4 linked regions of the Arabidopsis thaliana genome follow. The protein of the gene in region 1 interacts with the protein of each later gene in a pairwise test. Each region holds a gene or a part of one and is shown on either strand. Other genes may lie near its edges.

What was found.
Region 2: the proteins of GT-1 (region 1) and FHA2 interact in a two-hybrid assay, tested with the Arabidopsis thaliana proteins (one large-scale study listed by BioGRID).
Region 3: the proteins of GT-1 (region 1) and MYB74 interact in a two-hybrid assay, tested with the Arabidopsis thaliana proteins (one large-scale study listed by BioGRID).
Region 4: the proteins of GT-1 (region 1) and AT4G18450 interact in a two-hybrid assay, tested with the Arabidopsis thaliana proteins (one large-scale study listed by BioGRID).

Annotation. Positions count from the first base shown.
Region 1 is NC_003070.9:4,609,888-4,618,768, forward strand, and holds GT-1 (Homeodomain-like superfamily protein), read right to left. Parts: upstream 5,373-8,881; 5' UTR 5,229-5,372; coding exon 4,613-5,228; intron 4,350-4,612; coding exon 4,311-4,349; coding exon of another isoform or gene 4,276-4,310; intron 4,003-4,275; coding exon 3,868-4,002; coding exon of another isoform or gene 3,821-3,867; exon of another isoform or gene 3,630-3,820; coding exon 3,399-3,629; intron 3,312-3,398; coding exon 3,112-3,311; 3' UTR 2,844-3,111; downstream 1-2,843. Other genes in the region: GAPC2 (glyceraldehyde-3-phosphate dehydrogenase C2), read right to left, coding at 1-88, 289-389, 481-510, 604-607; AT1G13460 (Protein phosphatase 2A regulatory B subunit family protein), read left to right, coding at 6,617-7,780, 7,979-8,293.
Region 2 is NC_003074.8:2,291,877-2,300,072, reverse strand, and holds FHA2 (SMAD/FHA domain-containing protein), read right to left. Parts: upstream 2,188-8,196; 5' UTR 2,106-2,187; coding exon 1,511-2,105; intron 1,314-1,510; coding exon 1,156-1,313; intron 876-1,155; coding exon 666-875; 3' UTR 501-665; downstream 1-500. Other genes in the region: AT3G07230 (wound-responsive protein-like protein), read right to left, coding at 83-153; AT3G07210 (uncharacterized protein), read left to right, coding at 4,954-5,216, 5,693-7,073; AT3G07200 (RING/U-box superfamily protein), read right to left, coding at 7,850-8,068, 8,156-8,196. UniProt on the Arabidopsis thaliana protein: May play a role in the control of plant organ development and specifically in the regulation of stamen development. Does not show transactivation activity in yeast.
Region 3 is NC_003075.7:2,613,898-2,621,839, forward strand, and holds MYB74 (myb domain protein 74), read left to right. Parts: upstream 1-4,474; 5' UTR 4,475-4,659; coding exon 4,660-4,795; intron 4,796-4,887; coding exon 4,888-5,017; intron 5,018-5,184; coding exon 5,185-5,893; 3' UTR 5,894-6,050; downstream 6,051-7,942. Other genes in the region: AT4G05095 (non-LTR retrolelement reverse transcriptase), read right to left, coding at 1-317; AT4G05097 (uncharacterized protein), read left to right, coding at 118-327, 419-498, 525-666. UniProt on the Arabidopsis thaliana protein: Probable transcription factor that may function in salt stress response.
Region 4 is NC_003075.7:10,187,445-10,195,136, reverse strand, and holds AT4G18450 (Integrase-type DNA-binding superfamily protein), read left to right. Parts: upstream 1-3,884; 5' UTR 3,885-3,975; coding exon 3,976-4,887; 3' UTR 4,888-4,906; downstream 4,907-7,692. Other genes in the region: SNI1 (negative regulator of systemic acquired resistance (SNI1)), read right to left, coding at 1-138, 255-320, 405-474, 540-610, 688-831, 910-959, 1,053-1,134, 1,230-1,294 and 5 more; AT4G18440 (L-Aspartase-like family protein), read left to right, coding at 6,305-6,490, 6,578-6,730, 6,878-7,093, 7,187-7,369, 7,469-7,690.

The sequences.
Region 1 (8,881 bases):
CACCGAAGAGAAGAGTTTTGTCATCCTTCACCTTAAGCTCATGGTGCTTCCACTGACCGTGAACACTGTCATACTTAAACATGTATGTCTGCAACAAATCGATACCATATACACAATCAGTCAAAACGAATTTACAGAGAATCAACATAGAAGAAGAATACAACAAAGCAAGTTCTCAGATCTATATGATAAACAGCACACACCATCATGTATATTAACAAAAATTCAGATAAAACTATTAACTCAAATCCAGATACGAACTAGTATCGAAGAGAAGAAGAAACGAACCATGTACTCGGTGGTGATGAAAGGATCGTTAACAGCGACGAGCTCAACATCATCCCTCTGAAGAACAACTCTAGCAACCAAACGACCGATTCTTCCGAAACCTTCACGAAGATTCAAAACTCAGCTTCTACAGATCCAAATCACTTAAACCTAACCAAAAAACTTATGGAATTCGATAAGAAAAACACTCACCGTTGATTCCGATTCTGATCTTCTTGTCAGCTACACAAACCAAAATTACGATCAGATTCAAAAAGTATCAACGAAAGAACAATAAATCGAAGAATCGCAGATCAACAAGAGCGAGAAGCTTACCCATTTTGCGAAATTGAGATCGAGAGAGATTTAGATGATATCGAGAGAGAAGAGAATGTGAAAATAGTGAGTGAGGGTTTGGGTTTGGTGAGGATTTAGGGTTATTTAAAAGAGAAGAAGAACGTGATGATGAAAATTGAAAATATGATCGAGTGGCTGAGATTTTTTCTTGGGAAAAAGGCTAATAGATTAGATTCACTAATTAATATTACTATATTGTACTTTACTTTCTTTCTTATTTACCATTTTTACCCATCGTTTATGGGTAGGATTAAGAACTGATTTGGGGAAACTAATGGCGCTTGGATTCACGCGCAGGCTGATGGAATATTCGAGGTTTAATACTCTAATCCTATGGGCTGGGCCGGTGCACGCAAGACTGCAACGTAGCAGATTTTGTATATATTCCTTTTGACAGCCAATGAGCTTTGCCAATAGCCAAATTTGTTTTTCTTTTTATTTAATTTTCATAAGATTTTGTATTATTGTTGTTGTCAAACCATAATTTTCCTTAATAAATCCAAAGTAACTGCAATAGTATGCTCATTTTTTAATTTTGCGTAACAAGTAACACCACTGTCTTCTATACATGTATCTTGTGATACCATTCATGGTAAATTCAATTATTATCGGATCAACTTTATCATCCAGTTCATTATAGTGAAAGTTACTCTCAAATGTCAATTCTCACTCAACATTCAGCAACATTACTCCAACCATTGTTTTAGAATAATCAAGGTGAAGATTTGACTTCATAAACACTATATTTAAAGGTGTTTTGTTTTAATCAATTTAGATGTGTAGATGCTTGTAGACGTCTTTATCGAATTACTGGTTGCTTACTGTTTCAAATATTTATAATTTGACACAAGTACATATGGTGTTGTATATTTATCTAATCGTGACTCTATACCAAGACACAATAGATGCTCCACTTTGAGAGCTTTGGTAGGTCAGATGGAATGTGACAGCAAAAAAAAACATCACACCTTATGTAATAGACTAATAGGTATGACTCTTGGCTTTTGCCAAAAGTCTTCTTCTTCTCCTCCTCTTATTTGCTCTCTTTTCTTTTTCCATTTCATTTTTGTTAGGTGAATGGTTATAAAACTCCTTCTTTTGGTATTCATATGGATCTTTATACATCCAATAAATAGCTAAAATATTATCTGAGGTCAACAATATATCATAAATTGAAGTTTGTGATCTTTCTATAACTCATGATCATTTCCAAGAGTCCACTTATAAGTTATAACTGACCCGTCAAGTGTCAGCCATTCTCTTCGACTGAATAAGTTCTATGATTTAAAAACGATTTTCTAATTCGTTTTTCTTTGTAAAATCAATTTACTTTGGTTTGTACTTTGTAGTAAAAAACCAAATTTATTTTTGCTGAAAACCATATTTGAGAATTTTATAACATAACGTACATGTATTTTTTTCATTATCTGAATTATTTGTAGTGATTTTGTGGAATTTTCATATGTTATTTCTGATCTTATCCCTTTTATTTTGAAGTGTCATTATTCACAATGTTCTAAAGTAATCGTGAAGTGAAAAGAACCACAATATATCATTATCAAAGTATATGTTAAAATTCGATTCTAAGAGAAAGAAAAAAAAAGATAGAAAGAAAGATGCAATAATTGATGCAAACCTTCTCGACAAAAACAATTATTGACGCAAAACTTTAACTATTGGAATCTTATCCTGATGATCTGCTTATAACCAATGTTATTCCACTTACGTGATATTTAAGATCTAGAAGTTGGTTTATTTATGCATAAACATTTCAATTAACTCAGTTTCATTTGTATGTTTGTGATGTTTATGCTGTCTTGATTCTGTCTTCCTCCTTTTCACGCTGTCTCAAAGGAGAAAAGTAATAAGGAGATCACGAGGGAGATTCAAGCTATAATGAGACAAGTTGCTTCCAGCATAACTTGCTTGCCTTGTCTCCATGAAACATGTAAGAGAGAGAGACATTAATCGGCTTGGCGGTTGGATAAGGTGTGTTTGTTGTGTTGGGAGCATTTACTGATACCGATGTGGCTGTACCGTTCACCTGGATCAAGAGAGTGGTTGAATTACATTCTTTGATACTAGTGTTTGTTAATCAAATCATTATAGTGTTTTCTCAGTAGTATAAGTTCAGAAAGTTTCTCTGGCTTTGCAGATTGACAAGGTCGAACACACTCATTTCATACAAGAACAATAAAAGGGATGAAGAATGACTCTGATACCACACACAAACACTCGCTCGTCTGATTGTGAACAATTTATTCACTTCTCTTATGTTCTGTTCTTACAAATGTAACAGACCAAAAATCTATTTTGAGGTCTTCTTGGTCTGTACGGTAAATGCCAGTTATGATATTTCATATTTGAGCAAGTACATGAAAAAAAGAAGAAATGTATAAAGAGAATGAGATCATATCTACAGGGGACTGTTTTCTGATCAGATAACTGTTGATAGAATTGGAGAAGAAGTTTTGTGATCTCATTTCCTCATCTCACACCTCGATACACAGCACCAGGTTGAAGATCATCCATGTTTTCTATGTTCCTAAAACCATCAACTTGCAGGCTTGACCATCCCTGTCGAGCCAGAAACTCGCGGTAGTCTTCTTCAGTGTAGAAGATTTTCTCTTCTGAATGGACTGGTAATTGGTTGGATTCATCATAATGGCAAACCCTAATGGCCAGTCCTGCAAGATGGGTTTTGCATACTGACAATTCAGTAAAAAACACACACACAGTTCAAAAGATACGAATAGTGGCAAATTTAATCTTACCATCATCCAGACGGAGTAGATAGTTCCCTAAGGGCATGTCTCGGTCAAGACAGCGAATAATCTGATCTTCATCTTCTAACCAAAAAGCCCTTCGAGTTCTTAACCCAAAAGCAGATCTGATTACCTCTTTGATTGCTTCTGCACTACCATCAACACCGATTCTTCTTGTATAGTCACCAAATTTCACTGTTATGACCCTACCACCAAAAGGCTGACCATGACTATCATCACCTGCTTGTATAAACATGAAACAAATGAAAAGCTCTACTCAGTTATAAAGAGACCGAACGAATAAATCAAGCAGAGGAGCAGAGGCTGTGAAGCAACCTCAAAATGAGAAAACGTGGATTCTTACACATATTACACCATGCTTGGAACATAAACATACAGTTCAAAAAACATATCTTTAGCCTTATAGAAAATTAAACTTTGAGGCTTAAGTTTATATAAGCTTTTTCTGAGGACTTGCCGTTTCCAGGAGTCTCTCTCCAATTCCAAGGAGTAACTCCATTTGCTGCAACAGCATCAACTGCTGTAGTGATTGCAAGAGGATGACCATCATGATCAAGACGCCTTTCAAGGTTTAAGGCTGGCCTGCCATTAGCTGAAACATAGATATATATACACTTTTCAAACATACACACACACACACACATCCTCTAGAAACAAAACTAAACCATCTAACACAGAAACTGCCTGTGAATTCTACGGCACAGTCATGTTTACTATTTGTTTCAGTCCCAAATGTTCACTTCACTAAGCAAGTTCATACCTCTACTATTGCTCACTCAGGGAGATGTTTTCGACCAACTTAAAAGACAACTTCAAGAGGCAGTAGACAAACAAAAGCTCGTCTCTTTGTATACATAGCAAGATACTATAATAAACAAACTAATAGTGATAGATAAGTACCTTCAACGGATCCAAAAGAAATGCTCGTATCATCAAAACCTACAATGAAAGATAAAATTACCACTTAGCCAAAAGAAAATTAAAGGCACAAAATCCACATACGCAGATTCATTTACCAAAACTATCATCTTCTTTAAAGATAACTGAAAAACCACAATAAGAAACCTACTCTAAAATGTAGTATCTTCTCAGCCTAAGATACAGATAAGAATTTTCCCAAATAGTAGCAACAAAAACCATAATCACAGTTACGTTCTCTGAATCCAAATCAAGAAATCTACAATTGATGCCAAAGTTTATACCTTTATCAGTAAATTGCATAAAGGAATCAACTTTGGCTGATGTAGGTGGTGTATTAGGGCTCTTATTATACTGTGGTGGTGTCACTTTTTTGCTCCTCTCTCTAAGAATATCTTCAATCTCTTTGTAATACGACATCTTCGCCGATCCATTTCCTCTATCATGATGCTTAGCTTTCTTAAACTCTTTCAACAGATTCCTCCATTTATCAGTACACATAGTCGGAGATCGATCAAACCCTTTTTCTCTCATCTTAGACGAAATCTGTTCCCAGAGATGTTTATTAGATTTGGATGTATTGAATAAACCATCCATACCTCTACGGAACATGATTAAGCTACGAGTTTCGTCTTGAACCCATGTCTCCGCTCGTTTCTTTGGTGCTTTAACTTCGTGATCTTCTCCACTGCTTTCTCCGAGGAGAATCTGTTGTTGTGGCTGAGATTGGTGGAGATGATGATTGTGGTGATTGTGGTGGTGGTGAGATTGTAGATCTACTGATTCGTTGGTAGTGGTGAGTACATCGATCATCATATCGCGTGTGGTGCTGGTGGTGGAGGAATTGTGATGATCGTCTTTGTAGAAATCAGTAGGACGAGATTTGTCGGAAATGAACATTGCTGTGTTTCCCGGACAGAATGGATACGATGTTCCTTTGTTCCCACCACCGTCAACACAAAAGCCCCCTCAGAACAAAATGAAAAAAAAGGTTTTAACTTTAAGTTAGGTTTTCTCTATCTTAGTCTAGAGATTTGGTTTTGGATAAGGATAATTACAAATTTAAAGTTTTGGTTATATAAATTGGTTTGAATGTTTTTGCCATATAAACTTTGTAATGTCAATCTGTTATTGCAAATATTAGCATGTGATGTTTGTATCTTGATGCATCAAACTTCATCACCTTGGCATCTGATATATAACTTACATCTTGTGTGCATCCATAAGACCAAATGCATCAAAGATTCGAAGGGAGAAAATGTCAAAAAAGAAATGAGACACTCTTCTTTGGAACAAAACAATAACTAAAACCATAAACCGAAATTAAGTTTGTATTAAACACAAGAAAGATTGAACCGAAAAACCAAACCAATATAACCGATTTTATTACATACATTCAAAACTATGTCGTATAATAGTGTTACGGTCGGCAATTAAAATCTGGAATTTTAAAACATTTTGAAGTGTTGTCAGCTTGAAAATTCTGTAAAAATTACTAATTCAAGTGAGGGAGGAGTGGACCTGGCAGGCCAGACCGAACACACACACAAAAAAAAACAATATTAAAATAAAGGGGAATAAAAAAACAATTAAAATTAAATTAAAATAGAATTGAGAAAAAAAAGTTTGATCAGCCATCGGAGGAGAAGAGAGAATGATAGATAACTGGATCACGAGAAGTCACAAATCTCAAAGAAGAAGAAAGAAAACCAAAATCAAGAACAATAACAACAATTCGCAATGATTTGAGCCAAATCTAAAGGGTACAAATTCTTAATTTCAAAGTCAATCAACAACATCGAAGGAGGTTTTTTTTTGGAAGAAGAACTTGAATGTGAATTTTTGTAAGCTTTTTTTATTTCATTATTCATCGTTTTTTTTTTCCTACTTTTGACCTTTGTTTTGTGCAATCGGAGGTGTTGTAATGTGCGATTTCTCTTGATTTTTGATTTTGTGATTGCGTTTGTTTCAGAATCAGAATCGAAAGTTTCGATTTTTATGGTTTGTAGTGGTGATTTTTTTCTGTTTCTGAGTTTCGTGAGTGAATAAAGAAGAAGAAAAAATGGTTTTGTTGTAATAAATTTGGTAAATTTTGGGATTTATCTCCATTTCAGGTTCTTGATATAACTAACTTTGTGTGTGTTTTAGTATCATATCTTCAATATTTCAGGTTCTTAATCTGTTTTTCTTGTTTTTTTGTTCTGTTATTCAGATGGAGTTGATGAAATTGTTCTTCTAGATGTTTGTTTTGGGGATATGAACAAAGAAGAATCTGAGTTTAATACACTATGTGGAAACAGATTCTGAGTAAGCTTCCTAAGAAGTCTTCTTCTAAGAACCATTCTTCTTCATCTAGTTCCACTTCAAAAAGTAGTGATAATGGCGCCAGTAAATCGGGTAATTCTCAAACCCAGAACGCTCCTCCTGTAAAACCTTCTGCTGATTCAGGGTTTAAAGAAGGGAATTTGAAAGGAAATGGTAACGGTTTCACTCCATATGAAGCATTGCCAGGTTTCAAAGATGTTCCTAATGCAGAGAAACAGAACTTGTTTGTGAGAAAACTCAGCTTGTGCTGTGTTGTTTTCGATTTCTCGGATCCAACGAAGAACGTTAAGGAAAAGGATATTAAGCGGCAGACATTGCTTGAGCTTGTGGATTATGTAGCTTCTCCTAATGGAAAGTTTAGTGAAACTGTGATTCAAGAAGTGGTTAGAATGGTTTCTGTTAACATATTCAGAACCTTGAATCCTCAACCGCGCGAGAATAAAGTTATTGATGCGTTAGACTTGGAGGAAGAAGAGCCTTCTATGGATCCTACTTGGCCTCACTTGCAGCTTGTCTATGAAATTCTCCTGCGGCTTATTGCTTCACCAGAGACAGACACCAAGCTGGCTAAGAAATACATTGACCAATCTTTTGTCTCAAGGTTACTTGATTTATTTGATTCAGAGGATCCTAGAGAAAGAGATTGTCTTAAGACCGTTCTACATCGCATCTACGGTAAATTTATGGTTCATCGTCCTTTCATAAGGAAATCCATTAATAACATTTTCTATCGGTTTGTTTTCGAGACTGAGAAACACAATGGGATTGCTGAGTTTCTAGAGATTTTGGGAAGTATCATCAATGGATTTGCTCTGCCGCTTAAAGACGAGCATAAAGTGTTTTTGGTTAGAGCTTTGGTACCTCTTCACAAACCGAAAAGCTTGCAAATGTATCATCAGCAATTGTCTTATTGTATCACACAGTTTGTGGAAAAAGATTGCAAACTCGCTGATACGGTTATAAGGGGACTACTCAAGTCTTGGCCTGTCACAAATAGTTCCAAAGAAGTCATGTTTCTAAACGAGCTAGAGGAAGTATTAGAAGCAACTCAACCACCTGAATTCCAACGGTGTATGGTCCCATTGTTTCGCCAAGTTGCTCGGTGTTTGAACAGTCTCCATTTTCAGGTAATTGTATTTTCCTTTGGTTTGCTAATTCTGTGAATCATGAATGATGGGAACAATTCTTACAAGATTGAAATGCGTGATATTTTGATTGAATCCATAAGAACAAAGCTTTGTGATTATTTCGAAAGCTTGAATCTTTGTATAAGCAAGCTCAAGAAAGAACAAAAAGGTTGAGACTTTTTTTATTTTGTTTTGCAGGTTGCAGAAAGAGCTTTGTTCTTATGGAACAACGATCATATCGAGAATCTAATAATGCAGAACCGGAAAGTTATTCTTCCAATCATATTCCCTGCATTGGAGAGAAACACTCAGAAGCATTGGAACCAAGCTGTTCATAGCTTGACGTTGAATGTGCAGAAGATCTTTAATGACATTGATGCAGAGTTGTTTAAGGATTGTCTTGCTAAGTTTAGAGAAGATGAATCAAAAGAAGCTGAAATTGGCGCAAAACGTGAGGCAACGTGGAAACGGTTGGAAGAAATTGGTAATCAAAAGCAAAAGAGTTCATTGTAAGATGTTTTAGTTGTAGAGACAGAGGTTTTGTTCTGTATTTTCTCGTTTTTTACTACATTGGAAAATTGGGTTTGTTTTTCTTACTCTCCAGAAAAACTTAGTGAGAAAAAAGTTTCAGATTCGTTTTCTTTGAAGAGATTGCAAATATTAAAGATCGTTGTTTTCTAAAGCTTGCTAATGGGTTCCAAATTATACAGCAGAGTAAGCAAGGTTTTAGTTTTAGATATGAGATATGGAAATAAGGAACACCTCTTCCATAAGAAAGATAGTTTTAAATTGAAGAGTATGATCTTGTTTGTTGAAGGTTCGCTAGATTTTGTAATGGTTTTTGTTTTTGAGAAACTCATTCTTACCGATTCAAGTTTTTTTTTTTAAAGTGATTTTCCTCTAAAGTTGAGAGGCTATAGTTTTTGGAAGATTTTAACCATTCTCAATCATGATCACTTTGGTATTTGACAGAACAAAAAACAAAACAAAAAACTCAGTAACAATCTAAAACAATTCATCATCTTATTTAATTTCTTTTCTTATTGCAAAATCCAAAAATATTCAAAACCCCACAACTTATAGTATAGTCCAAAGTCCAAA
Region 2 (8,196 bases), on another chromosome or scaffold:
AAGAATGACACATCAATAGATAGATCTGGGAACAACATCGAGATAATCTCATATTTGGATCAGACAAGACAAGATTTTGTACCTTTTGTCGGACGAGCTACCCTTCTGGCTCAGGAAGGATCTGAATAGACCAGAGTTCACATCATAGATCATCTTCACTCAACTATCTCGTAAGCTTCGATTACCGGAAGAAGGGGAAGATCTGGACAAAATCGATGAAACGGAAGCAGTTTTTTTTTTTTATATAGCTTTTTCGATCTCAGAATTTTGCTTTAGTGGCTGCTACAAGATACGAGTATAACCCTAAGTTTGCACATTCCAACCTTTTTATATTGTCTGGATACGTACTTGAGCCACTTTGGATCATTCTCTGTTTCGGCCTTTTCTCTTTTTATGGCCCAAATCCACCGAACATAACGATTTCTGAATTGGCACGAATTTTTTGCCCTTTGATGAAAGAAAAATCTCGATGGGTTTATCAAAAATAAGAATCAAGAAAAAGAAAATCAAAATCTCTCAACTGCAAGGACCAAGAAGTTGGCGTTTTTGGGTGCAGAAAAACGACACAGCGTGTTACTAATCAATGCCAAAATATTTTACATATGAAACAAAGAAAAGAGAGAAAAGCTTCTTAAATCTTAATCCGAGTCACTAAGGTAAAGTTCTCATGAGAGTAGGGTAACGAGGGAAACGAATTCAAGGGTAACTCTTCCCTTTGATCTCGTGTTGATGACGAAATGCTCCGGGTATTTTCTCAGCAGCATCAGCAAACCGTACCATGGTTTACCTTTTGCTTCAGGGATAGCCCAGTCTTCTTGTGATAGGTATCTTCTTACTCGACTGTGATGCCATACGTTTCCATACTCCTTTAATATCTGTCACAGACCAACCACTACCATGCATTAGCCATCATATTGAATCACAAAGAAGTTCATAGTCAGACTACACTAGTCATTCAAAATCTATGGAGTAACTGACATACTTTCTAGACTTAGACACATATAAGTAGCGTAGCGCGTTTCCATTGGAAAACTAATTAAGGACCTAGCTTCACACTAATTATCACCTTGACATTATACAAGTCTTGTTTCAATTGATTACTCGTACTACATTCTGTATTAGAAAAAGGCAAGGAACTTTCTCATAAAAACTAACCACCGAATGAAGTTTTTCCATAGGCATCCACTCTCCCGGACCACACAAATCGGAAAGCACAGTGGCAACAGACGATACAACATCTTTTTCCTCCAGCTGCAAAAATTGTTGATCATCAGCTTCACGATCTACCTTTGATCTTCCCTCTCTCTTCTTCTCTGCACAAATGAAGCAGATACAATGTCGTGGTGTCACTAGCATTCAAATTCAATCCAAGTCTAACAAGGTTCAATCAGCAACCACCACAATCAAAGTCTAAAGAAACAAGCCTGATGTGATCAAGTAAGCATCATAATCTGAAACATATCTAGTTGCACAATGAAAACTCAAACAATCATGAGCAATCTGGTTTTACCTCCGGAAGCATATACTACTTCATGTCCATCTCTCCTTGTTTTCTTTCCACTTCCTCTCATATCGTCCTCCTCATCGTCGTCGTCATCATCATCTTCATCATCGTACTCATACAACTCTCTACTCCTGACGCCCTTCTTACCCGACCCAGAACCTGGACCCGACTGATAATTATGGTATGGAACAACACTTGTTTGCCCAGAGACGTGGTGCCTAGGTCCCAACGGCCCGCCTAAGATGCTCCGAACCGGTAGGAGAAAGTAGAACTCTTTGTCTCCGATCTGCAAAAGGTCTTGTGAATCGAGCTTGACGTTAGGATTCCCAGGGAGATGAAGAACACCTTCAACGAGGCAGCCATTTTTGCCAAGGACCTCGAGAGAGAAGCGTCGTCTAGTGAAGTCATAGAAGATCCGAGCGTGGTTGCGCGAGATGTTCATCCCACCGCCGAGGGATGAGAGATCAACGTCGACGGTGGCTTTCTTAGAATTCCGGCCGAGTATAATGGAGTAAGACTGCATATAGTACTCGAAATCCTCACCTTGAAGCTTCGCAAATCCAACCTCCACATCGCTTCCGCCACCAACAGCCGTAGCCATGCCGTGAAATTCTCCGATTTGATCGAAAGAGGAACCGGGACTTCCAAATTAGGGATTGCAATCGTAATAATTTGTGAATCGAAGCAAGATTTGTTTGGAAACTGGTTTAGCTTATCCAGGACAAAGGCTTATTTTGTGAAATTGACGATTATACCCATGATTTTAAGACCTGAATAAAAACCCTAATGACACAACTATTTAAAACAGCCGAAGAAACATTGAGAATGGCGGCGAGATCTGTGAGCTTAAAGGTTCCATCTCTCCCGCAAATAGTGGAGCATCTTATTGATTGTTTGAATTTTTTGATTTCGTTTGCTTTAGAACATAGGCTTGGTTAGTTTTATGTAACCTTTTGTTTATTTTCGTTGTTGGTTTGATTGAATAAGTTGCCAAATGATGATTGAAAATTTTGCGCAAGGGTTTTGAGTTTCGGATGATTGGAGTTTACTCTGGTCTGAAGGAACCGTGACAAAATTATTTTCTAATAATTCATTCTGATGGCAGCTCAATCATTGTTAGATATATCAAATTTCAATTCGAGTTTTGGGTGCATGGTTTGATTCGGATGGTTAATTGTAGTTTGTTTTGTTAGTAGAAGCTTGGTTTTGGGGCAGCTTAATGAATTTTAGGATTCAAGTTTTCAAATCATTTAGCCTATAATGTTCTGAAATGTGTTGTGTAATGGCTTTGATTTCCTGAGGATCTGACTATAGAATGTTTAAAATCCTGAGGAACGGTGGGAAATCATGTATTTGTGTTTCTTTTTTTTTTTAAGATTCAGGTTCTACAAATTATGCTTAAAGGGCTTTGAGCTCCTGACCGCTTGTATTATGAGATCCAAGAAAATGTGAAAAGTCGTTTTTTTTTCCTTTCCCATTTTGATGGTTTGGGTTGCATTTTACTGTTCTTTTAGTTATCATGACTATGCTAGATTCTGGTCTGGACATAAGTTGCTTAAGATGTGTGGAAATTATGCGTAATGGATTTAGAATTGGCAATTTGTTATTTGAAGGAATTCACTTCTATAGATATCCTTTAATGGCACCCGTTCATGGTCAGCTCCAAATATGCAAGAAATCGGAAAATGCATTAGTGTAGTCCTCTTTTCTGGTATATTGTCAATACTCAAATCTTACATAAACTTTGTTTCAAGGACAATGAAGCATGTGGTCAAGATTTTGAGCCTGCTGGTAGCTGTCTCTGCCTTTTAGTTTGCTCTCTTGCAGGCTGCAATTATGGCTCGTAGCCAAACATAGTTGGTTAGTAATGAGTCTGTTGTGCTCATTTTTGCTTATTGCTATTCTCAGTTAGTCAATATTAATAATGTATATCTTTGCACCAGCTACCTATATACGTTGTAGTGTCCTTTGCTATTAATTGTTGGAATCGGTTTAGTGCAGTTCCCTACCTCTCCTAAAGAAGCAGTTTTTCTGCAGCGGGTACTTTCAGTACTCTTTTCTTTCTTTGTTAACTCGAATTGTTAATTAAGGTTAAATTAAGTTCTTGACTAGTGCTTTTGCTCCTAGCTGTTGTTAATGTTGATTATGTACTAGTTTGTTTTGGTGCTATTGTTATATTGCAGGATATTGCAGATGCAAAAAGACTTCTTAAGCGCTAACGGAATTGATGTTGGATCGGATTTGACACATTATGGTTTACTTCTTTTCAACTCCCTAACCAGTGTAATAGAATACTTGGAGTCTTCGATGGTTCATAGAAAGAGTTCCCATTTTCATTATGTACAGTCGTTTACTATGTTTTTTTGAGAGATGTACATTGAGAAACCGGTGTTTGCAATTGGATTTTGTTTTGGGGTTTTAAACATGATGAAGAACAATGTTATTCTGATAAGTTCACTTTAATTGACTTTTTTTTTTGGAATATCGTTTGTTACATTTTTTCTCGTGTATACAATAAGTTGTGAATCCAACTCTTTCAAGTTTAAACTACTTGAGATTAACTTAAATGCTCCAATAAAATTGATTGAATTGGATTTTCTAGTTTTGTTTGTTTTGAAGTAAAAAGTTGGACTTGAATGCTGATAAGTGATAATAAATTGACTTGCAACCATAACTGAACCAATCTAACAACATGTAACTATTCCAAGTTTATTATAAGCTAGATTTCTGAAATGGAAATGTCGTTTTAATTTTACATTTTTGCCGAGATGGTTAAAACTGGTAATCATATACATTACAATTTGGTTAAATGACCAAATCTATTTGATAACAAAGAGAGATATAAGTTAATGAAACCATGATTAGACAAATCGACAAGCAAAGAAAACGTTAAGCAAAAAACACTAATCATAATAAGCAAAAAGTCCATCCATGTTCATCACATGTACAAAGATCCTCTCTGTCACTCTAGACTTTTCCTCTGTTTGCTTCTTCTTACAAAATGACACACTTAAACCAAATAAAGAAAACATTTCCCCCAATCTTTATACATTTTCTTTTGAATTAAAGAAAAAAATAAAAGTGATAAAAGAAGAAGAAGAAGTCCCCAGCTAGCTCCTTAAAGAAGCACATCTCTTTACTCATTTCACGATTCCCCTGTCTCTTGTTTCTCTCTCACTTACCTCTTCTCGAGTTTTCTCCCATTCTTGGGTCTTCATCGAGACCAAATCCGGAGAAAGTTGATGTTTTTACAGCACAAACAGACACAGACACATACATGTGTTGTGTCTCCCTAATCCCATTATTACTAACTCGCATCCAATTCACACTTCTCTCCTAAATTCCCATCCTTTTCAGATCCAAAACACTCTCCTCCAAAACCCAGATTGCCAAATTAGGGAATTTGACACAAAACCCATCTGAGAGCATAATCAAGAGATAGAGAGACAATGGGAGTGATATTGGACTCATGGTGCTTTTGTAAAGGAGTTGGCAAAAGCGAGAAGATGAAAGGTTCCATTTTTACCGGCAAAGCTCCGGCGATGGCTCGAATCTCTGTCTCCGGACCAAATGGTGTTACTTCTGGAACTGGATTCCTCATTCACCGGAATCTTCTTCTGACCACTCACCTCAATCTTCCTTCCATCTCCGCCACCGAAACCGCCGAGGTCCGCCTTCAGAACGGTGTCGCTGCTGCTCTCTTCCCTCACAGGTCCCACCTCTCTCTTTACTCTCTCTTGAGTTTGATTCAAAATTTGATTTTTCATTTTCCTGTGTTGTCGGTTGCACGATCCTGGTAAATTTTGATGCAATGCCATCAAAAAAATTGGCTCTTGTTCAAATTTTCAAAAATGAATCCATATCTTTTCGTCAAACCAAAAGAACTTAAAAGAAAAGAGCTTTATACTGTACTTATGTTATATGGTAATGATTCTGGATCTGTAGCTGAATTTGGTAAGTTTTCATTTTAATTTCATAAACTTTAAACCAAAACATTGATATATCATTTTGTGATTATTGGAACATGAAAATTCATTTGTTCAGATATTTCCCAAAATGGAAACGTCTTGATTGCATCAAACATAATAAGAACCAATCTGAATTGTGGATTTGTTTGGTCAATGATGGTGTTTTCTGTTCTTTAGCTATCAGAAAATGAGTGTTATCTTTATATGGTGTCATTTGCAGGTTTTTCATTACGAGTTCAGTTATTGATCTCACTATTGTTGGCTTAGACCTTGTTGATGGAGACTCAAGTTCCCAGAGCCAACTTCAACAACAACCACATTACCTGAAGACATGTTCCAAACCAAACCTGGATCTAGGGAGTGTGGTGTACCTCTTAGGCTATGCCAATCAGAATGAACTCAAGATCGGCGAGGGAAAGTTAGTTGTAGCTACCGACAATCTCATCAAACTCTCAACTGATGAAATGATTTGGAGTCCTGGATCTGCTGGATTTGATGTTCAAGGGAATCTTGCATTCATGATTTGTGATCCGAGGAAACTATCGACATCACCAACCTCAACCTCGTCATCTTCCTCTTCTTCTTTGAAGAAAGATAACAACAAGACACTGATGATGCAGTTTGGTATACCAATACCAGTAATATGTGACTGGCTGAATCAGCATTGGGAAGGTAGTTTGGATGAACATACGACGAAACCTAAGTTGCCTCTCATTCGATTAATGTCTTCTGGTCAGAAGAGTGAGCGTTCTTGTACTTCATTCACCATGCGCCGTGTTTTCAAGCCAAACGACTCTGCTGATGTTGGAACACCATCTTCATCTAACACTAGAGATCAAACTCATCCGAGCTCTTCTATCGCTGCTGAGGAAGAAAAAGAAGAAGAAACCTCAAAAACCAATCCACAAGTCTGCGGAACTACTACTCATGCGCAGGGTATCCCTACCCCTGAGATATATGAATCGCCAAAGTTGACTTCTGGTCCTCTAAGAAATGAGACAGCTCAAGTACACCTTTTGGACATCAACTTTCCTCCACGGATACCTAAAGCTATAACCTTTCATCCTGAGCTCAACTCTCTACAGAGTAACCATATAGTGGAAGAGGCTGAGATTGTCTCTGAAGGATCAGATGCGCAGATTGCTTCGACAGGTTCAGTAAATGGTGCTCTCAGTGAGGTCATCTCAAGTTCACCGCCAGCAGCAGCTCACTATGTATATAACAATCATGGATACAGCAGCGAGGAAGAGACAATGTATTCTGCAGAAACAGCAGAAAGCCGAAACTACCCAACTCCTCCAAGAAAAAGCGAGTTTCATCATGAGAGAGTTGGAAGGAGTCAAAGCTGTGTGAGCTCCAGCAGATGGGGAACTCCTCAGAAGAGTTTGAATGGTAGAAGAGAAATGCTGGAGAAACAGAGAAGCTTCGTCCATGGGAAGAAGATGCATTCACAAGGAGCAATGTCACAGAGGAGTAATGACTATTACAGCCCAACGGTCTCATCTATCATGAAGAAAAGGATTAATAGTTCAGAGCAACAGATTATCAAACCGGTACCTAGACCTAGAGCTGTTAGTTCTTCACCAAGATGGGCGTTCTAAGGTCGATACAGACCGGAGAAAGAGCCACCTTCATAGAAAGAGAGACATCTTTGTTTAGATTTCGATATCTCTCATTCTTGTATAACCAATTTTATTTTAACTCTTGTGCAGACATATTGAAGAAAACAACAAATAGGAAACATAGAATCTTGAATCGATCGGGTTTAAGCCCTTAAAGCAATCATTGATTTTGAGTTCCTGGAAGTAAAAAAGTATTTTCGTTTTTGCTATCAGAACATAGATTGGGCCATGACTGTTGGATGTGTTCTTTGATCTGCACAGCAATGATTTCATGGGAATGATACCAAAAGAATAATCTTTTCATAAGAGGTAACTGTGGACCAACAGAAAAATGTGCAGATGCCATTACTGCCTTCTAGTGAACTTGAGAGAGAACATGCATACAGAGGCTTATGAGTTATGATGTAGAATGCTTTTTCTTAAGATTCAACAATATCTCCTAAAATATCTCAACAATCACTAAGCAATAAGGAACTACTCAAATAATGAAGATCACCAATGAACGATATCCATTAGAAAATCAGGTCTTCCATAATTCCTAGATATTTCTCTTACAAAACAGAACAATATTGACATAACAAACTACAACTAATGAACAACATTTCTTCATCGTTGGAGGTAGAATCGCTAGACCACTATCCCTGCAAGAGAAGAGAAAGAAAAGGATCTGAACGGCGCAATTTTTAGAATTCAGCAGAAAAAAACAAATCTCATTAGCTAGACTTACATGGCTACTAGTGATGTTTCTGTATCATTCATCTGGTGGTTGGAAGGAAGACCCGGATAAGGTCCTTAACAGTGATTTTTTTCCTACATGTCGGGCATTTAGCTTGGAGGGATAACGCATTCTTTATGCACTTTTTGCAGAAAATATGACCACATTTCGTTGAAACCTCCTGAGTAAATGGACACAGACAGATTGGACAGCTAAATTTTGGTTCCTCTACAGGAGGAGCCACAGCCTTGGACTTTCTCTGAACAAGAAAATGAAACTTGGTGAGCCAAACTCCAAACAGCAAAACTTTAAGAAAAGAAAAGAAAACCCCACCCACATCTCTTACCGGCTTGTTAAGCTCAACTGAGTCAACACTAGTTTGATCAG
Region 3 (7,942 bases), on another chromosome or scaffold:
TTGATTTCCTTGATGATTGCAGTAGAAGAGCGGGAAGCGTGATCATGCAATCTACGGTTACGCTCTTTCCAAAGGAAGTAGATAGAAGCTTGAAACACTAGCTTGATGATGAGAGAAATGTTAGGATCACGAGAAGGAGATAAGACCCAAGTGAGGCAGTCCATAAAGAGAAGCGGAGGAGTTAAGCTTGCTCTAAACATGAAGTTACCCCAAACCGCAAAACTGACACCACATCCAAAGAACAAGTGCTCTCTAAATTCAGCATTTCCAGAGCAAAGGACACAATCCGAAGGAATAGAGAGACCCCACCTCCTCATGCAGTCTCTAGTATGAAGCCGATTCTAAGCAGTAACCCAAGTAATGAATGCGTGCTTTGGAATATGGTCCTTAAACCAAACCGACTTATGCCACACAACAGGACGGCCAGAAGGGTGAAGCGCTTGCCAAGTCAGAGCAGAGGAGAAAGAGTGAGAAGGAGGTCTTTGATCGACTTCATAGGTAATGATATCATTGCAACTAGGCAGGGCGTGCTTTGATCAAGGAGATGATGGGATTACGACTTCTAGAACCCATAACCCTCCACCTATCACCAGAAATTGCGTCTCTTACCACCGCCTTTTTTGGCAGACCTATCACCTGAAGACCCAAAGGACTCGTGAGATTTAAAAGAGAACCCAAACCAGTCTAATTATCGTACCAGAAACTAGCCGTAATAGCCAAACCCACTTCACACACCAAAAAAAGTCTCGCCAGACTACGAAGCTTACTCAACCGCTTCCAAATCCAACTCCCAGAGTTGTACGGATTCAAATCCAACTACCAGAGCTAAATTCTATTTCGTTATTTTAATATCATTAACACACCTCTATTATGAAACCTCCAAGAATAGAAACCACTAAGTTTAATAATTCAAATATTCTATATAGATATAGCTACTTTACTATGTGGCACATCAACTCCACAACTATTAATTCCGATATCGTATCGCACTCGCATATGTATTGTAATTTTCTATACATAAATAAATGTTATATACATAATTACGTATGTGTGTGTGGACTCTTGGTCTTTGTCTTTCAACTATTTAGAATTCAAATGGCTCGTTTCTGACGTATCAAAATCTGGAATAATGCGACGATAATCTCTACGTACGTGACTCGATTTATTTTAACATACATACTAATCAATCATATTTTATATTAAGAAAAATTAGGCAAGTATCGTGTATATATATATATATAGTATGTGGCTACATACTATTATTGCCCACATACAGTAAAACCTCTATAAATTAATACTCGATAAATTAATAACCTCTATAAATTAATAAATTCTTCCGGTCCCGAGTTGGGACCACTATAAAAATTGATACAAATCGATAAATTAATAAGATAATAATTATTTTGAAAATTTTATGTAAATATATGGTCCCATCAATATTATAAATTAATAATTGTATAAATTTATGAATATATATATATATATATATATTTATATTTATGAATATATATTATGTAAAACTTAGTAAAATATGACTTTAGTATTGTTTTTCTTCAATTTATATTAATTCTTTGTAAAATTCAATTCTAATAATTTTACTACGTATAAAAAAGATTTTTTTTTTAAACCTAATAATGGTTTTATACTTGTAATTGATTTTTAGAAAAATTATTGATTGTAGAGAGGAACTACCTTTTGGATTAAATTTTTGTAAAAAATTACAAATTTTTTAAAATCTCTCCATAAATTAATAATTATTAATTTATCGATAAATTAATACCTCTCTAAATTAATAAATTTTTGTACTATTATTACCTAGAAAGTGAAAATTGACCTACAAATATATCTTCAATTTGATTCACATATACGAAGTCACGTATGTTTCTATAAATTTAGATCCAAAATGTGTGAAAACCCATCTGTTTTTGCAAATTCTTGCAATTGCAATTGCACATGTTTCTATTACGTTTAAATCAATCGAGCTCTAAGTGATTTATCCATAGTGATATACAGATCCAATATCCATGAAACATATTTAATTCATGAAAAGGCTCAAACATTATCAACAAATAAGATATGGTCAACTATGTAGTAACTAGTAACACGTAGGCTGCTGCTCTTTGTGGCAAATTCATGCGCAAGCAAAGCCTCTAGATGTTTGACAAGTTACTACCCTAATATAGCATCACTAGCTATCTTCTAATTTTTTTTTTTAGTTATTTTAATCCTGTATTCTTTTATTTATTTATTTGATAAAGTGATGAAATTTTATTCTCCTTTTTCTTATCAACTAATATACTTATTCATTCACATAATTTCGCACTTTGCGGAGTTTTCATTTGTCGTTAAACCCGACAGATTCTTGAACCGCAAGGAACGAGACATTAACCTAATGTACTTATATTTAACTATAGTATTATAATAGCATAAATGTGACAATGATTCGATCACTACTAATATATTAATCACCAATCTATATCGTCGTCCTTCCTGATTATTTGAAGATTTTGTCTATAAACTAGCTGCTTTTGTTTATGTATTTTTATTACTTGGATGCTTTTGTTTGTTGGAATATTCGAATGAATTTTTGTTTGCCTGAAACTATGCATATATAATAAGGCCATATGCGCCAATAATATAGAATCCAAATATTCATTAACTATAATTAGTTTGTTCTAGAGTTTTAGCTACTCATATATTCAAATTCTTAGGAGATCAAAAAAGTACTTAATTAGTTAATAAAATCCATTTTTATTAGTTGTAATTAAATGTAAAGTGTCGAAACACGAAAGGGAAGATGAGTTGCACAACTCGTGGTTCCTATAAGAGTGATAATCTATCTGACGTCACGCCATGCAAAATGTATCAATCAATTTTCTTCTCACATTTATATTTACTTCAAAATGATTATAAAGCCACCCAATGAATAATAAGATATATATATATATATATATAACTCAAAATCAAAAATTTCAAATGGAATTTGGAAGCATCACAAATTCACAATCATGTATTCAAAATCTCACGTAGAAAAAGCTAATAAGTCCAAAAGATTGGTCTTCATTTTTTTCTTGAGAAAGTTTGATGGGATAGAGAGAGAGACAGAGAGGAACAGCTAAATTTGCTGTGTATGTATTTAATACTTGAACATTTATTTATCTATTTTCTTATACATCAAACTCACGAATTTATAGGTTGGTAATGTCGTTTTTATAACATTAATAAAAATTGCAATTGTAGTTTTTATTGAAATTTACCCAAAAAAAACTATTATACGAAAATATGTTATTTATTTAAAATTTGATATTAGATGAATCCAGAATCTTTTATAAAACTTGGTGTGTGTGAACCTGCGTTAATTTGTTAAATACTTTTCACGTAAAAATCAAAATTAATTTTAAAAGTTATGTTACCAAACAGTATTCTGATAGTTTTACAAATTTTATCCATTGTATATGTTTTGTTTTTGCAAAAAAGTCCAAAGGAAAAAACAAAGCAGAAGGGTTGAATTGTGAGGAAAGAGAGAGTACGTGGCATCATAACTTTGGCGACAGCTAATGTGAAAACAGCCAAAAGCTACGGAGAGCGACACTCCTCGACGACGTCCATGTCTCTTTAGATTGTGATTGCATTGTTAATTATCATATTTATCAATTGATTAGTTAAGTCTTAAGTATCATCACACAAGTTTATACATTAATCTATACAGTGTTTAACACTACAAAACTCCCCAAAATCACGTGTTTCATATCATACGTACATTTGTCTACCGTCTTTATTAACAATATTAAAACAGAATTTATCAATTTTCTAGTTGAATAGACTATATACTATTATAGAGACTCTTATAAATTATGAAACTCCTAATCAATTAAAAATAGTTAATTTGAAACATATCACTCGAAACTAGGGTATTAGTTGGATTGACGATATTTTTCTTATTAATATCAACGAGAAGAATCAAGTGTCGTTAGCTCAATTGGTAAAAAATTTAGGCAAAGCTTAGAGATGTCTATTTGAGTGACGCTTGGAACAAAAATTACATGCTATGGTTTCAGGCCTAGAGAAATGCTTCGATCCAGAATCTCTTGATATTCAAAAAAAAAAAAAAAATCAACAAGAAGAATGTATAAATGGTTTCTATACTATCTAAGTTATGAAAAATATTTTTGGTTACCCAAATTACAAGATTTGTACCGAAGTGTCACACTAGATTCACATGCATGCATAGTTATAATTAACTTAAAACATAAATGACTTACAAAAATACTTACAAACAAAAACCAAATTAAGTTATTTAGTGGCCAGCTTTGTTACTAGAGTTTTAGCCATTATCATAATTCACAATAAGGTGTAGGAAAAAACATTAATATATAGTATGTATACATCCAAAAAAAACTTTTTGGAAAAAACAAATTTTGGGATTATAAAGGACACGTAGCCCAATCGATGAACAGAGGACGGCACCGAATCAATTTGACTTCACCTTTTTTCCCCATATGATAAGAGTCTCATCTCTTTCCTATATATATTTCGTACCTCTCTTTAAGGACCCTACGTCTCTCTCTTTCTCTCTACTCTCTGTTTCCTCATAATTCAATCACTATATTTTTTTAAAAACATTTGACTTCATCGATCGGTTAACAATTAATCAAAAAGATGGGACGATCACCATGTTGTGAGAAGAAGAATGGTCTCAAGAAAGGACCATGGACTCCTGAGGAGGATCAAAAGCTCATTGATTATATCAATATACATGGTTATGGAAATTGGAGAACTCTTCCCAAGAATGCTGGTTAGTATACGTATCTTCATTATTACATTTTAATCATACTTTTTTTATTCGTGAATTGTCTTTTTAAAGTTTTGCTTGAATCTTGACTATAGGGTTACAAAGATGTGGTAAGAGTTGTCGTCTCCGGTGGACCAACTATCTCCGACCAGATATTAAGCGTGGAAGATTCTCTTTTGAAGAAGAAGAAACCATTATTCAACTTCACAGCATCATGGGAAACAAGTGAGTTTGAACTTTTCAATAATTTTATATTTTTGCCATTACGTAGTTTATACGAAAACTACTAATCTTGTAGATTAGTCTTAGAGTCATAGCTTTGAATGATGTTACTAGTGATTTATGTTAAATCTACAATGCATCAGATTCTAACTTTGTTTGCTTTCGTATAGGTGGTCTGCGATTGCGGCTCGTTTGCCTGGAAGAACAGACAACGAGATCAAAAACTATTGGAACACTCACATCAGAAAAAGACTTCTAAAGATGGGAATCGACCCGGTTACACACACTCCACGTCTTGATCTTCTCGATATCTCCTCCATTCTCAGCTCATCTATCTACAACTCTTCGCATCATCATCATCATCATCATCAACAACATATGAACATGTCGAGGCTCATGATGAGTGATGGTAATCATCAACCATTGGTTAACCCCGAGATACTCAAACTCGCAACCTCTCTCTTTTCAAACCAAAACCACCCCAACAACACACACGAGAACAACACGGTTAACCAAACCGAAGTAAACCAATACCAAACCGGTTACAACATGCCTGGTAATGAAGAATTACAATCTTGGTTCCCTATCATGGATCAATTCACGAATTTCCAAGACCTCATGCCAATGAAGACGACGGTCCAAAATTCATTGTCATACGATGATGATTGTTCGAAGTCCAATTTTGTATTAGAACCTTATTACTCCGACTTTGCTTCAGTCTTGACCACACCTTCTTCAAGCCCGACTCCGTTAAACTCAAGTTCCTCAACTTACATCAATAGTAGCACTTGCAGCACCGAGGATGAAAAAGAGAGTTATTACAGTGATAATATCACTAATTATTCGTTTGATGTTAATGGTTTTCTCCAATTCCAATAAACAAAACGCCATTGGAATAGAGTTATGTAAACATGCAATCATTGTATTTGTTATATAGATTTTGTTACATATCCAAAATCCAAAATACTATAGTTTTAAAATATTTATTACTAAAGTATATTCGTCAAGGGGAAAGCAACATCCCACCAGTAAACAATATAAAGCTCAGCTCATAACATTGTTTTAATGATGGAGTTTCTATTATTGGTATCTATCTACTCTTTTGTTTAATATTTGTGGTCGGCTTTTCTTCTACATAAATGCATGGAGATCGTATCAACGATCATATTAAAATATGATTCGAAGATATATACTATAATTGATATCATACATGGTGCTGAAATGTTATCGAAATAGAAAGGTAGATAAATAATTGATAGTGAATAATTATATCATTGACTTATTATCTCTTGTTTCTCTGAAGAAATAAACTAATGATAATTTATGAACCAAAACAATACTAATAACAAATGTTTTGAAATGGAAGTGGGCCATTAAGTCAATCAAAAATTTGCACAATTTCACTAGAACCAATCAAAATGCACGAAAAACTTTCTATTTTGACCACCAGAGAAGTCTTACGAATTTACTAACCGGAATCCGGCGAGACTGGCCGGAGCGTGAACTAGAAGTACACGTGGTATGGTAGCGTACGTGTGCAATTGGGGTCAGATCACGGGACACAATCTAATGACCAGACGCCACTTGTACGACACGAAAGCAATAAGTGGAAAACGTAAGGAAAAAGTTGAAAGAAAAAGCTCGTTTTAATTGAAATCACGGTTTGTGTTAATTAATCACCTTTAACACGTGTTGTACGGAGAGCCAACTGAGAGTGGGGACGCGTGGGGACAAAGCAGCATGTGTAAACACGAACGTCGGCATTTTTTGGGATGAGCTGTTTGTTTTGACCCCTTGTTCGGTTTTTCCAGTGGATCTTTTATTACGTATAGAGTCAACATTTTTTATAAGAATAAATTATTGTGGTAATTAAATAAACCTTGTTTTTTTCATTAAATAAAAACTTGTTTAGTAAGAGAAATTTCATATTATTTTCTTTGGTTTTAATGCTAAGAGTCTTAACGAAATTAAACAATTACATATCTTGCCAATTTTGAATGCTTAATTTGCAACTAGAATAAATTGTATATATCTAGTTTTACTTTTTTTTTTCTTTACTTTTTTTTGGTAAAATATATAGTTTTATTTTTGAATTGACGGAAACGTAAGTGGGTTAGTTGAGTTGTTTCTTTTTTATATATACGTAATTAGATATAAACGTGCGGTATACCGTAGATACTCTTATATTTTAGTTAAACTAAAATTTTTTATTGTAAAAGTGATTTATAAATATATAATATTATTTTATGGATTTTAAATGTATAGTAAACTGCTAGTTGTATATTTTTGTTGATATTATTTATATTGTTCAGTATTTAAGATTATACACTTGTATTTAATTGTTAATTTTAGAGTTTCACCTATAATTACCATCTTGTATTAATATTGATTTAAACCCGTCAATTCTAAGATTTTCAAGCTTGTATTAAAAATTGAATCACATCATACACATAAAAAAATCTAATATGTTATTAATTATTATAGTATATAAGATTATAAATTTTCAAAATAATATGTATGAAATTGAATATAAATATTTAAATTATAACCCGTTACTTAGTAGAAAGTTTTCTAAAATCTATTTTTGACCTGTTATAATATTTTTTCATGTATTGAACAGTTTATATTCGTTTTTAAAAATATAAATCATGGCACATGCGAAAAGCTAATTATTCTTTTATAACAATAATATTATTTTTTCGCAAAAATAGAATCATATAAAGATGAGAGATGAACTATAATAATTAATAAAAAATTAATATGATAATTTAGATATCAAATCTAATTTGTTGATTTTAATTAGTTATTTTTTTTGGAAATTAATAATGTATTTCGTTTGTCTAATTAAATTAAATTAATTAAAATTTGGATATCAAATCTTATATGTTGATTTTGATTGGTTACTTTTTTAGAAATTAAAAATGTATT
Region 4 (7,692 bases), on another chromosome or scaffold:
GATCTGAACAATGTCAGGTCCTATCTTTTTAGTGATGTTCTTTGGATTTGTGCCATTTGAAAACGTCTTCAAGATCCCATTTAGTGTTTTCGAATCCTCTGCTTGAGGAACAGTTGTTCTTCGGGTACGTACAACAGGCTACAACATGAAAGAAATTTGGTCAGAGAGAGAAATCAGAGAAATAACTATATATTGTACATCATTTGTTGGAGAAGATAATCAGAGAGCGAGAGATCAGAGAATTAACAACAAACCTTAGGAATGTATTTAGTAAGGTATTGGAGAACAATCTCTAGCTTCCATTTAGGATCATCGAAAACCTGATTAAGAAATTTTCACTCAAGAACCACAGAGAGAAGAATTTTACAGACCACAGTGAGTTTCAGAAGTGGTTTGTCTCTTACCTGAAGAAATTTTGACAGCAAGTATCCATCATAAGTCAGCTCGTCGAGAATGATCTCCATTGCAGGGGTCCTGCATCAAATTGGATCACAAACATGGAGAAAACACAATTCAAAAGTGAGGCAGAAACTCATTACCTTACGCCATCTCCTCTAGAGGTAATCCCTTCTAAGTCAGCTTTCTTCTTTGATGTATCAAGCTCCATGATCTAAACAAGGAACAGAAACGTAAGAGCAAAAAGCTCCGAAAATTGAAACACTAATACTCTGGTAACCGAAAACTTACCATTACTAGAAGTTCTTTCATAGCAGTAAGCATGTCCTTGTGCAATTCTACCAAACTGATAGACTTTTCATCAGCATCAATGGATGCACACATTGTTGATAGATAATCTTTCATTAGAAGTTTGAAATTCACTTTTCTTGAAGCCTACAAGCAGAACCATAACATTAAAAATCACAAATAAATTACTATACTAGTTTCTGAGCCATTGATTGTGGGATGTACCAGAAGTAGATTCAGAAAAGATTCCTTTAAGAGACTCCAGTTCATAGTTTCTGGAGCACAAAAGGACACAAAAAGTTCTAAGAATTTCCCCAAACTTAACAAGATAAAGAGAAATCTTAAAACTATGAAGACATAATCTATACCTTCATACACTTGATTTCGGGGTGTGAAATCTAGCTTAAGAACATGAGCAAGATACTTGAACAGAAACATATTTCCAAGGATCTGCAGAAATCCAAACAAAAGAATCAAATAACAACAAGTTGTGTGAAAGTCTACCAATTTTTAAAGCTTATCTGCAACATAACAAATAAATCAACCTTTAAATCTGATTCCTCAGACTCATTAACTCTTTTGTTCATGTTCTGAATCAGCTGTTGCAAAACTGAAATCATAAAACAAACAAAAAATCATATTTAGCAAGAACCAACAAAAAGCTAACTCAAAAAGAGAAGACAAACGTCCTTACATAAGCTTCTCACTGATAAATCCTTTTCATCAGAATCAACATCAGACCCGAAATTAAACGGTGACCAAGCCTGCAAAACAAAACCATAAACAAACACATGAAATCAACCATCCCCACCATAACAAAGAATGAACAAAAACACATCAAAACTTTTGTAACAAGTACCTCGTCAACGATGTCCAACTGATCAGCTGAATCAGATACATAAACCCAAGGAAACCGCTGAAACAAAACATAATCATAATAAGCAAAACACTGAAACCTCATAAAAGTTATTGGACAAATTACACTACCAAAATCTTGCAACAAGTACCTGATGTAATTGAGTCAAAAGCTGGAAACTTGCTGTGATAAGTTCCAATGTTTTACCAAATCTCAATATCCTGAAAATCGCTTGGTACATTTTGCTTCAAAATTAAACAAAACCCAAATCAAAATCAGTACTCTTTTAGAGGTAAAAACTTCAAATTTCTTAGAAAAACAGAGTTTTTTATTTTTTACTTGGTTGGAGGAATTCCATTTTCGGGTACAAGTGAAGCAGCACGAACAGCTTCCAGATACTGCAAACCTAAGGTTTTTCATTCAAAGGATCAATACAATTAACAAAAACAAAGACGAAGATTGAAAATTGAGGAAACGTACGATCTTCGTTAGCGTCGCGACTGTCTTTAGCTCCGGTGGAATCAATCATAGCCAAGGTGTTAGCTTCCAAGCTACCGCCATAGCCACTCATCACTCTGCTTGTATTGTTATTACCCTTCGTCTCTTTCGACATCTTCTCTTTCACAATTTCACTAATTTCTTCTCAGCAGCACCAAAGAAGAAAACGAGAAGGAGAGATTGAAATCTTAATCCGAAATTAGAACGGAGAAAGATTTGTAGAAACCCTAATTCTCGACAGAAGTCAATTTTCCCGCCATAAGAGAATTGTTAGCAAAAAATAAATCACTTACTGGAATTTGAACCCGGCCCTCGAAGGTTAGAAGTTTGAACTTAGAACCAATAGAGACAATATTAGTTGGTTATAATAATTCATAAAAATATATATAATTTTTTTTTTGTAGTAAGTCTTCTTTTTCTTTAATACCGAGTGGTTCTGAATCAAAACTCAGAATACTTTCAGGCCCGAAATCATAACAGGTAATGTTAGTTCCGTTCCAAGCATCAATTAAAATCTTTTCTATATTGTAGTTTTTTTTTTAATCAATTTTGAAAATGCTTTTTGTGATTTGGATTCAGATTAAGTTTAGACTTGTGATTACAGAATTGGAAATTTTATACACATGACTTGTAGTGTGTTTATGAAGCTCGCTAGACTTATGAAGCTCTCGAGATTGAATACCAAAATTTAACAAATGACTACCTTAAGATAGAACCATTGCAACAATCTTTAATGCTCGAACAAAACACCTTTCTAATCGAAACGCTCTAGCACGCTTGGAGTCTCTCCAACACGAGACTTTCTTGAACTATATATGTGCCAAAGCAAGAAACTCTCGTAGTGGAGAACGAATGAATGAATCTTAAACGATTGATATAAAAATTAGCAGATAGTTTTTTAATATTAGCTGATACGTACTTGAGGTGACTTGAACCTACCATATAAAGTATCTCTAGCTCATTCTCTATAATACATTGAATAGAGATATTAATCTCTTTTTCATTTTTTTTCAATTGTAAGCTATGTTTCAAAGCGTGTGGAATTTATATATTCTATTCACCTCTCATCATTGTTTCAAATCTTTGGACTTACGGAAAATGATCTCATACAAATAATACTTGGATAAAAAGTTAGTGATGACTTAGCCCTTACATGTTTTTTCTTATTTCGTTTCACATTTTGATAGCGTTTAGTTATCATTATATTATATTCTCTAGGCAATATGCGTTAAACTGTGATCGTATGGTAAAATAATAACTTCTAACAAACTTAACTAAACACCGAAGAATTCTTTATCGATGTATGAAAAGCTAAATCAGTATTAAGGTTCATCAATCTAACAGTAGAAACAAGTCATTTAGAAGCTATATTTCTTTTTATAACCAAAAAAATAGTTAAAAAGTTTTTTAAAATGCGACGAGCGTGGAACGAAACATTAAAACAATAAACTTATGTTTGATTTAATAATCACAATTCTCCAAAACGGATTTGTGCCTCTGGTGGGAACACGTCATAGATTCTCATGAAGCGTTAAACTGAAGATTAATATGTTTATTATACAAAAGTGAATTAATACTCTGCATCTAGTCCTTTTCAAGAGTACACAATCTGCACTTTTTTAATGAAAATAGTACACAATCTTTATACTTCAAACTGAGGTAACATTATTAAATTAATTTATTGAAGTTGACTTAAGATGATCTATTCACATAATGGTACGTGTGTGTGTGTATACACAGAAAACCCCTGATTTTATGTGGAACCTAAAACCCTCCATGAAATGCGGTCAGTACCTTAGAACACAAGTTTCACCAACTGTACTTCCCAATTATCCTGCCGCAGATTTCCCATTCAACGTACACACAAAACCCCCAAAGCAACAATCTCTTTAAAATGCCCTAAATCTCACCAACACATACTCCTCTCTGATTCAACAATGGCTTTTGGCAATATCCAAGAACTAGACGGCGAGATCCTAAAGAACGTTTGGGCGAATTACATCGGAACACCACAAACCGATACAAGATCAATTCAAGTTCCAGAAGTTTCTAGAACTTGGGAAGCGTTGCCTACCCTTGATGACATACCAGAAGGTTCTAGAGAAATGCTTCAAAGCCTAGATATGTCGACGGAGGACCAGGAATGGACAGAGATTCTCGATGCTATTGCTTCTTTCCCAAACAAAACCAATCATGATCCATTAACCAACCCTACCATTGATTCATGTTCTTTGTCTTCTCGGGTTTCTTGCAAAACAAGAAAATACAGGGGAGTACGGAAGCGTCCGTGGGGGAAATTTGCAGCCGAAATCAGGGATTCGACGAGAAACGGTGTTAGGGTTTGGCTCGGAACGTTCCAAACTGCAGAGGAAGCAGCTATGGCTTACGATAAAGCCGCGGTTAGAATTAGAGGTACTCAAAAAGCTCACACAAATTTTCAGCTCGAAACAGTTATAAAAGCTATGGAAATGGATTGCAACCCAAACTACTACCGGATGAACAACTCAAATACGTCCGATCCATTAAGAAGCAGCCGCAAAATCGGATTGAGAACAGGAAAAGAGGCGGTTAAGGCTTATGATGAAGTCGTTGATGGGATGGTTGAAAACCATTGTGCCCTTAGCTATTGTTCAACTAAGGAGCACTCGGAGACTCGTGGTTTGCGTGGGAGTGAAGAAACTTGGTTCGATTTAAGAAAGAGACGAAGGAGTAATGAAGATTCTATGTGTCAAGAAGTTGAAATGCAGAAGACGGTTACTGGAGAAGAGACAGTATGTGATGTGTTTGGTTTGTTTGAGTTTGAGGATTTGGGAAGTGATTATTTGGAGACGTTATTATCTTCTTTTTGACAGAAATACATTGAAAACTACCGTTGCTAATTTGATAGGTATACATATATAGACATGTATATATTGTATAATTATATGTCAAGATTATTTATTTATTTTACATTTTTCACAAAAAAAAACGTTAATCTATTTTTCTGTCACAAGTGTGTTTTTATTCATACTACATACTACAACGCCAATTTAACATGCCAAATATAAAACATACATGGGCAAAGGCCCAACAGCCAGTTTAAAGAACTTTGTCTGAAGAGAAAGTTGTTGTATATATCACAAGGGATATGTGGTAATTGGGAAACATGTTGGGTTGACACGTGGGAAATTGAAGGAGATGGAGTTTCCGTCACTGGTAGAATCTTCTAACACTAGAGAGCTTCAATTCAGGTTGAAATCGTCAGAAAACTAATGCAGACGGTAGATCTCAATCTTCGCCCAAAAAAACTATTTAGCTTGATGAGAATAATTTCACTTAATTTAAATTTGTAATTTTTTTTCATTTTCTTTTTCAATAGACAACTTTTCAATTTTCAAGTTGCAGTTCATCAAACCGGAACAAAAGTTAGCCTATAATCGCCAAAGAGATAAACGGCGATACAATTAGAAATAAAGCCAGCCATCGACGCTATAGAGTTTTGGGATCAAGGTTAAGCTACTTTATCCACCTTGATCTCATTCAATCTCTAAAAGCTAAATGAGTTTCGATTTAGGAATTTTGTCTATTTTCAATCGATAAAACGACATCGTAGTGTACAGTAAACTAATATCGTTTAGACATAACAGAGAAAACTAACAAAAAATTAACACCGTAATTTTTTTTTGTGAATCTACTTATCATCATATCTAAATAGTAAAATGTTTACATTTAGTCATTTAACGCCACCATTGAGACCGCCGCTTGTTAACCCATTTCTAATCTTATACATGACATATAATTGTACTAACTAACCTCAAATGGTATTAATAAACAGTTTTTGGTTCATTTCAGTTATATCAGTATATGACAAACTCTTAGTGAGATATAAATCTACACATAAAACACATGAGTATTGTTTTGTCATTGTCCAAACATTTTTGATTCACAATACGACGATTTATAAATTATTAAAGTTTCCCTCCAAATTATTTTGAAGGCATTTTTAATCCATATATTTGAAACTATTAATAAACGTGTTCAAAATAAAGGATAAGGTGATAAGTAACAAATAATCCTCCTCCAATAAGCGTAATAAGTAGGGACATCAAGGGTAAATATGGAAGAAAGAAAAAAAATGCACATGTGTTTTTTTTTAATCGGAATCTCCTAAAACCCTATATATCGGCGGTACAGTTACGCAAAGCTTCCAGTGACTCACTCACATCGTGCTTTGATTCTGGAATCTAGGTTTAAAGTTTAGACCTTTGAGATCACACTATATCAAAAATGGAGCTCAATTTCTCTTCAATGGCTATAACACACCCCAAAATCCCTTCTTTCGGTTTTACACCCACCGGAATATTCCTAAACCCATCAAAATCAGTGTGTTTGGCTTCACATCATCGGCTTCCGAGAGTTTCATGCTCTGTTTCTACTACTACTGATTCTCCCAAGCTAGTGACTTCAACAAAGGTAAGTTTTTTATTTGTGGGTTTTGCTGAAATGATGTGTTGTTTGGATGTTTTCGATAAGAATTGGCGATAAATTGATATGCTTTAGGTGACGGCAATGGATGGAGTGAGCTCTAGAGACTTGGAGATGTCGAATTTAACGGCGTTATCGCCTTTGGATGGACGTTATTGGAGTAAAGTTAAGGACTTGGCTTCTTCTTTGAGCGAGTTTGGATTGATCTATTTCCGAGTTTTTGTCGAGGTAAGTGAAGGGTTATGATCTGATTGGTTGATTGATTGAGAAGATTGTACTAGTTATGTCATGCTATATCTCTTTGTACGAGTAGTTTAGTTGTCTGGTCTAGTGTACTCATTTGCCTAAACTTTGATATTTTTATATATTTGTTAGATCAAATGGCTTCTTAAGCTTTCGAATATTCCTGAAGTCACTGAAGTTCCAAGCTTTAGCAAAGAAGCTCAGAGTTTCTTGCAAGGCATAATCGATGGATTTAGCATAGACGATGCATTGGAAATTAAGAAGATTGAGAGAGTAACAAATCATGATGTGAAAGCAGTGGAGTATTTCTTGAAACAAAAGTGTGAATCACAACCAGAGATTGCTAAGGTTTAGGTTCTTTTCTCTCACTTATAAGTTCTTAGGGTTTGGATGCTTTGATGCCCTGTAACTAAAATTTTGGATGTCTTTTTACTGAGTTAGGTTCTTGAGTTTTTCCATTTCGCTTGCACGTCTGAGGACATCAACAATCTTTCCCATGCTTTGATGCTTCAAGAAGCACTTAGTTCGGTTATACTTCCTACCATGGATGAGCTGATCAAGTCAATCTCTCTGATAGCTAAGAACTTTGCTTATGTCCCCATGCTTTCACGAACTCATGGGCAGGTAATGTCCAAAGAGAAGACCTTCACCATTTTACCTTTCCCTATTTATCTGTATCTATCTCTTTACTAATGATTTTGTTTACTATGAATTGTAATGCAGCCAGCTACGCCAACAACTTTGGGGAAAGAAATGGCGAATTTTGCTGTGAGGTTAAGCGAAGAAAGGAGATATCTTTCAGAAACTAAGATTAAGGGGAAATTTGCAGGTGCTGTTGGGAACTACAACGCCCATATTTCCGCATATTCGAATATTGACTGGCCTCATGTTTCCGAGGAGTTTGTTACTTCTCTTGGATTAACATTCAACCCATACGTGACTCAGGT